Linked DNA regions of Ovis aries. The protein of the gene in region 2 purifies or fractionates together with the protein of the main gene of each other region. This does not show direct contact. Links are inferred from orthologs where the notes say so. Each region holds a gene or a part of one and is shown on either strand. Other genes may lie near its edges. The genes, in order: SDF2L1 and PTPRO.

Evidence for each region.
Region 1: the proteins of PTPRO (region 2) and SDF2L1 purify together in Homo sapiens (affinity purification with mass spectrometry; 3 studies listed by BioGRID and IntAct, with this or other methods). This does not show direct contact. The link is inferred for Ovis aries from reciprocal best matches to the Homo sapiens genes PTPRO and SDF2L1.

The regions. Positions count from the first base shown.
Region 1 is NC_056070.1:72,150,146-72,154,138, forward strand, and holds SDF2L1 (stromal cell-derived factor 2-like protein 1), read right to left. Parts: upstream 2,530-3,993; 5' UTR 2,505-2,529; coding exon 2,318-2,504; intron 2,034-2,317; coding exon 1,837-2,033; intron 1,048-1,836; coding exon 766-1,047; 3' UTR 604-765; downstream 1-603.
Region 2 is NC_056056.1:199,965,278-199,968,863, forward strand, and holds part of PTPRO (receptor-type tyrosine-protein phosphatase O), read right to left. Parts: intron 1,474-3,586; coding exon 1,369-1,473; 3' UTR 1,353-1,368; intron 86-1,352; exon of another isoform or gene 1-85.

The DNA.
Region 1 (3,993 bases), on a different chromosome or scaffold from region 2:
CCTCTAGAGGGCACCACGCACCAGCAAAACTGCTATTACCGTCCTCTGTCAAGGGCCAGCCGATTTCAACACTTTGACAGCTCAGTGTGACTCTTCTTCCAGGAAGCCTTCTCAGATGTCTGCAGGCGGCAGTCCTCTGTGGTTATCTTCCCTTGCAATACCTTTTTAAGTTCTGTTAGGGCCTCCGGGGTTTGGGGCCAGCTGAGTGTGTGGGGTGCCGATCTGCACGGAGACAGGGATCTTGCGATATGAATCTCCACCAGATGGGCAGAGTCCTGGCCCAGTGCTTGGTCAAAGCCAAGGGTCCAGACTGTCACAACTGCCAGGGGAAGGGATGCCCTTCAAGGGACGAGAGACTGGCCAGCTTGTGCCCATCCCAGCTGGTAGGGAGCAGGGCTGCTGCAATCTGCTGAGACCTTAGCCCTTCTCAGGAAGGTTCATGGAGCTGGAGGCCATCTGAGGGTGGGGGGAGGGGGCTGTGATGGCCCCGGGCAGTGTTGAGAGTGCACAGAAGAGCGTCCGAGAGGTCTGGATGGGTTCAGCCACCAGCCGTGCTGGAGACAGAGCTTTCACACTGAGGAAGAGATGCTGAGTGGGACCAGCTGGCAGCTTCAGGTCAGCCCCAGGCTCACAGCAAAGTGCGACCAGAGACCAACATTCTTTAATCATAAAGGCACTTGAGAACCCCTACAAAGCCAAAGTCCCCCCGGAGAGTCGTCTGCAGACAACGCCCCCCGCAGCCCTCCGCCCCCCGGTCCACAGCGCTCAGAGCTCATCGTGGCCCCCAGGGGCCTCCGGGCTGGGCTTGATGAAGACGCCTTCCATGGCCTTCCACTTATTGTGGGCGCTGGCACTGGCCATGCCATGCACCTCATGCTGCCCCCGGATTGGGCTCCCGTACTGCTCACCAGTGACCGACAGGAACACGGAGGTGCCCACGTGCTGGAAGCGCACGGCAGCCTCTCGCTCCCAGTGCAGCCCTGAGCAGCGCACGGTCCACAGGTCCAGGTCGTCCCCCTCGCCGTCCTCCCCAAAGGCGCTCACCTCCTGTGGGGGCAGAGGGGGTGAGGACCGCAGTCGTGACAGAGGGAGCCCTGAGGCCCCTGCGGGCCCCTGCCAGGCAGCGGCACTCACTTCCCTATACCTCCCCCTAATACTCAGCTTCCACAGCTGCCAACTGCGACCACCCCCCCAGCCCTGAGTCCCCCCAACACGGGCTCTTCAAACACGTGCACACCCCATCTCACCTACCTGGGTGGCGACCACTGGCCCCCAAGGAGTCAAGGCCTCCCCCACTCCCTCCTCCTCCAGTTCCTTCTGTCTTAAACCCTCTGACCTTCACTCAGCATCATGTCTGCCACTCAGGCTGACAGTCAAGGTTCTATTATCTCATCCTTTTCTTTGGATAAGCCCCCAACCACCCTCTGTTCCAGCCCCACCGCCCTCCCAGTTCCAATGAACTCGCACACAGGCAGGCTCTTGTCCAGGCCTGGGAAGACGCCCATCTCCTCCCTGGATTCCTCCTCATCCTTCCAGGGCCGGCCTGAGTGCCTCCTCGCTGCGGAGTTTCCCATTCTCCACGGCAACTGCCGTGTGGATCCCCCTCCTGGGTCCAGCTCCCGCCCAGGAGTGGAGCTCTCCAGCCAGACGGCTGTTCCAGCTGTGTCCCCGCGGAGCTGAAGGCTCCAGGGGGTAGGCGCCGGTGGGGATCATCTCTCTGTCCCCAGAGTGGGCGCCGGGCAAACGCTTCTAACTTGACGCTCCCATTTCACAGAGGAAAGCTGGGGCTCTGAGCAGGTGCCCAGGCCCCGCGGCTCACAAGCCAGGGGGGCTCACCTGGTTGTTGGTCAGCGGCGACGGGAAGTGGTGCGTGTGCAGGTTCTTGCCGGTGAGCACGTGCGTCAGCCGCACCGCCTGCCCGCAGCGCACCGGGGACCCGCGCGGACACCCTCCCTCCGTGTCGCCGCGGATTCGCCAGTAGCTGTTGGCGTCGTCGGACGCCTCCACGCCGGTTACCGACTGCTGGCCGCTGCCTGGGGACGACACCCCATCCCCGGGGTGGCCGTCAACGTGGCAACGCCGACCGTCGCCCCGGACAACCTCCGCTTTCCCGACGGCCTCGACCCTGGGACCCAACGGCTCCACAAGCCGCTCCCCGCCCCCCGCCCGCCTCTGGTCGCACTCCGAGGTCCACCGCTCCGAACGGCGTCCCGACCGCGCCCTCGAAACCGCCGGCCTCCGGCCCTGAGGACCCCCAGCCCCCTGGCCCGCGGGGACCCAGCGCCCAGCCCGCCGTCGGGCGGCCCCGGCCGCGCACCGGATCCGTATTTGATGTCGTGCGAGTGCAGCCGCACCCGGTGCTGCGTGTTGAACAGCTTCAGCACCGACCCGCAGGTCACGAGCCCCGCGTCGGTCTTGGCGGCACGGCCCCCCGACAGCGAGAGGGCCAGCAGTAGCCCCAGCAGCGCCGGGCCCGCAGCTCGACCGCGGCCCGCGCTCCACATCGCCCCGGCAGGGCTCCGGCAACTCGGCCAGCGGTCGCTTCCGTCTCCGCCGCCGGCCAATCCGGACTCCGACAGGGCCCGCCGCAGCAGCCAATCGCCGGCCTGCACGGCGCTCCGCCTCTGCTGCCATTGGGTCCGCGCCGGAGAGACCCGCCCCCAGCTTCGGCGAGCGGCGGCTGGGAGGGCCCTGGCGACACGAGGAAAGTTTTGATTGGTCCACGCCTCCGAGGGCTGACCAATGAGGATCCAGGGGAGGCCCGGGCGGCTCCAAGCCGCGGGAGTGCTGGATGCCCGGCGGCTGCCGCCTAGGGCGCCGCTCTAGCGCCCGCCGGGCTCCGGTTCACCCTATCACCTTGATCCCAGATCCCCTGGCCCTCAGTGATGGTGTCCCCCTCGGACCCCGGGTCCACAGCTGCAGGGTCTTGACGTTGCTCGACTACTAGATTATGTGGTCACCAGTGGACACATCTCGGATTACGCAGTCACATGCTCCTTCAGTCCCTGAACCTAATCCTCCAGTCGCTCGAACAGTGCCCCCTGACACTGCGTCACATCGGTGTCCCTGGACCCTGGGGATTCTGAATTCCCTGGGCCCTTCCAGGGCAGAATCTCATGGTCTCTAGGCCGCTGGGCAGCAGAGGGCAGCAGGGAGCTGTGGTGTAGAGGCTAGCAGTCTTCAGAAGACCCTGAGCTGCCTCGGGAAGTGGCTGCAAACCAAGCCTGGGTGACTGTGTGTCCCAGGCTGGGGACTCACTGCCTTCTCAGAGAGCTGTCTGCTCAGTCCTGTAAGGGGGGAAACTTACACCGCTGTTTATTTATTCATTCGTGGAATATTCTAAACTTGACTTCACTCCAGGCCCTTCAGTTCAGCCCAGCCCAGGAATCGGCTGACTGCTCGGCACTTGGGCACCAGCAAAGCAGGGAGGGAAAAAAAAAAAAAGTTCATGTTTGATTAAATCATCCAGAAGTTAGCATTCAGAAAATCCAGGATAGAGTCATTTAAATTACAGCAATGGATTAGTTTTCGGGTTTCATATTCCCCCTGACTTGGTGCTGATCAGCTAGCTTGTGGGCTGTTAGTTCCCTGACCAGGGATCAAACCGGCGCCTCCTGCGGTGGAAGTGTGGAGTCCTAACCACTGGGCCACCAGGAAGTCCCAGTTTTCAGGCTTAACATTGTCTTTATTTGGAATTCCATGTAGGACAAGGCGTCTTGATCTTTTCAACACTCAGTGTCTAAAATGCTGTCTGCCCTGGATTTAGTAGATCCTACCTTGGAGGGGCCTCCAAACCAGGCAGAGGGGCTAGAGTGCAATCCAGACACAGCAAGGAACACCTCAAGCGGGCCAGACCAGAACTCGCAGCCTCCTTCCCACTGCTTTGCCCCTAGGCTGATTTTGAGTGACGGCACCCTTTTCGCAAATTCACAAGCTCTTTAAGCCCCAAACCGGGGACTCATCTTCGATTCCTCTCTTCACCACACCCCTCCC
Region 2 (3,586 bases):
GGGGCTCTTTTTTAGCAAATGGCTAGTAGGGCCCCCCTAAAAAACTCTGGGAGCAAAGGGGGATGGGTACACATCATGTTCTGTCCTGTGAATGAGGGAGAGAGAGAGAGAGAAAGAGAGAAAGAGATGGTAAGTAGCCTGGGAGAGCAAAGCTACTCATCAACAACCCTGTGGCTGGACGTGCTTTCTTTGATCACTTTCTGACTCCATCACTAGCTCTCATTACACTCAACCCCACAGCCCACGAGGATGTGGATTTACCTGGGCATCTTTCTCTGTGCACATCCTCCTTTCTATGGCTCTGAATGCCTTTCCTTCTGCTTGCAAATTTGTCTCTGTCTGTCTTCCCATGGAGAAGTGGGCTACAGTTCATGAGATCTCAAAGAGTCCTTCAGTCATGTCTGAAGCGACTTAGGACACACACGTCTTCTCTTATTTTTTATCCTTCCTGCTTCCTCGTGCTTCCTGTCTCTCTTTGTTGACGGATGTAAAGGACCAATGCTAATCCTATGGTGGTACCCACTGGTCCATATCCTTTCATGTTTCCACAAGGCACCCCTCTCCTTTCTCTCCCTGTCAGTGGTGCCCCCAATACCAATATATTCAGACACATGCCATGCTCTGTTTACCCAATTGAATCTTTTAAGATTATTTGTTACTTTAGGCACAATTATTTGCACCTCCAAAATCTGATCTATGGAGAATGTGAGAGCAAGGTATTGACTGTGGTATAATTTTTTCAGGATGTCCTCAAGTAACTGCTCATATAACAGATGAAATCAAGGCATTTCCAAACTCCGATAACCTGAGACTATTGTCAATATTGTTTTTCTTCTTTGGGAGTGTTGACTTCAGCTCATATTTCCTTTGTAACTCTTTCTATGGCACTTGTAGTCAACAAAATATTTGCATAAAGTATCTAGACAAATAGTGATGGTGGTTTAGTCGCTAAGTCATTTCCCACTCTTTTGTGACCCCATGGACTGTAGCCCACCTGGTCCCTCTGTCCATGGGATTTTTCCAGGCAAGAATACTGGAGTGGGTTGCAAGTAGGGTTGGATGGTAATATCCTGATTGGATCTGCAGGCACAGATTTAATATCAGAGTAATTTAAGCTTTAGGCAGGAGGGAATAGAGCTCCAATCTTTGTGAGTTGCTGAAGCTCCTGCATTGCCATACTCACCAACCAAGGCACACTGAAGCTCTAAGATCTGCTACTGTCTCTTTCCCTATGGCCAACTCTGTGGGGGCAGAGTCAGTGCAAATAGCTGCTGCCGCCTTTGCTTTATCCCATCATATCCTCTCTCACTGTTCTAAGACAGGGTGCCCATGATGGGGTATTCTCTACTTACTTGTTGGGATTCTGAGCTAGGAATTGCTGACATTCTCATAGATGACGTCACTGATACAGAACTGCTGCTTCTTCTTCATCCACATCAGTTGCACACACTGATGGATAAAAATGTACTGCTCCTGGAGCAAAAGATAAAGATGCTTTAGAGCAAGGTATCTTTATGTAACGACCTCCCTGGAGCCAGTGTTTAAGATTCTGTGCTTCAGCTGCAGGGGGCATGGGTTCAATCCCTGGTCAGGGAACTAAGATTCCACATACCACGCGGCAAGGCCAAAACTAAAAAAAGATATGTTTGTGCAAAAAATAATATTTGTAATACTATGGGAGTATTAAATACTATGATGAATGTCAAAGGAAACAATCTTCATTATTTGTAACATACAATTTCAAAACTAGACGATCCAAGAGAATCAACTGTAAAAATATTTTGTTTAATAATAGGATTTAGATTACACTACTTAATGCTAAAGGCAATGAATATTCAATCAGTAAATCATGGGGCTTTTTCAAAAAAAATTGCACATTGCCTCATAATACACTGAAATAAATTCCAAGAAGCTTAATAAATTAAGCCATAAAAATATAAAGGCATATATAGATTAATTCTTCTCTGATTACTTTATGGAAGGGCTTTCTAAATTTTTTTTGGCCATGCCATACCCCATATGGGATCTTAGTTCCTGGACTAGGGATCAAAGCCACACCCCCTGCATCAGAAGCACAGAGTCTTAAACACTGACTTGCTAGGGAGGCCCCTGGGCTTTCTAAACTTTAAACAATGAAATAAATTAGAACAAAGATGTCAAACTGTTGTATGTAAAAAGTAGAAAAAAGAATAACATAAAGGGCAAAATAGAAACTGAGAGGGAAAAATATTTTCAAGAATTATGACAAATGTCAACACCTTTATCTCTGTTTAAAATTCATCCATATCAGTAACATACACACTTAAATTGGCAAATAGATAAAATCTACTAACCACTAAGTAAGTAAGTAAGTGAGTGAAGTCGCTCAGCCATGTCCAACTCTTTGCGACCCCCTGGACTGTAGCCTGCCAAGCTCCTCCATCCATGGGATTCTCCAGGCAAGAATGCTGGAGTGGGTTACCGTTTCCTTCTCCAGGGGATTTTCCCGACCCAGGGATTGAACCCGGGTCTCCCACATTGGAGGCAGACGCTTTAACCTCTGAGCCACTAGACCAAATATTCCTGAAAGGCAGGGCCTGGGTGTTTTTTATTCCTAATACCCAGCACTTTGTTTGTACTTCCTAAATGTTTTTTAAGGTAAACTGAGAAAATATTAAAACATGTACAAAAAATGGCCAATAAAAAAACTGTAAACTAAAACAATTATTTTTTTAAATCTATGAAGTGAGTAAAGTTAAAAAGTAGCATTCAATGATGATTTGAATTTGTTGAACCAGCCATTTTTAACCAGTTGGTGGAGGTACAATTAATAAAATGCTAATAAATGACGTTGTGTGGATGGACAGAAGTAAGAAAGCAGGAAGGAAGTGAGGGAGTATTCAGTCTTTAAAATGAGATTTATAGAGTTTTAGGCAATTTAGGATGATACACATGGCAAAATCTTCAGTGAAAATTCAGAATGCAAAATTATGATATGTCTATAGAGCATATGAGTACAATCACGTGAACGTTATACTTGACTAAGGCCGAGATGTTGTTATTGCTGTTGTTCAGTTGCTAAGTCGTGTCTGACTCTCTGTGGCCCCGTGGACTGCAGCATGCCAGTCTTCCCTGTCCTTCACTATCTCCCGGAGTGTGCTCGGATTCATGTTCATTGAGTCAGTGATGCCATCTAACCATCTCATCTTCCACCAGCCCCGTCTCCTTCTGCCTTTAATCTTTCCGAATACCAAAATGTTGACAGTAGCTATCTTTATCCCATTTCCTTTTCCCTATTTCCCAGACTTTCTCTCTAAGTAATACCATTAAAAATGATCTTTAAATAAGAACCAGTTAAAATATCCGCAGGATTTTAAGGAGTCTCTTGTTTGACAACTTCATGCAAATGATGAGGCTAAAGACTTCAGACTTCCTTGGCTTTGACTCACATGTATTTTTTTTTTTTAAGTTGGGAGAAAATATATTCCCTTATTTCATGACAATATCACATCAGTAACTGAGCTTCCCTTTCTCACTATGACATATCCCTCCACAGTCTCCGGTGTTGAGTCAAGCACAGGGCATTGATAAGGGCAGAGAATGCCTG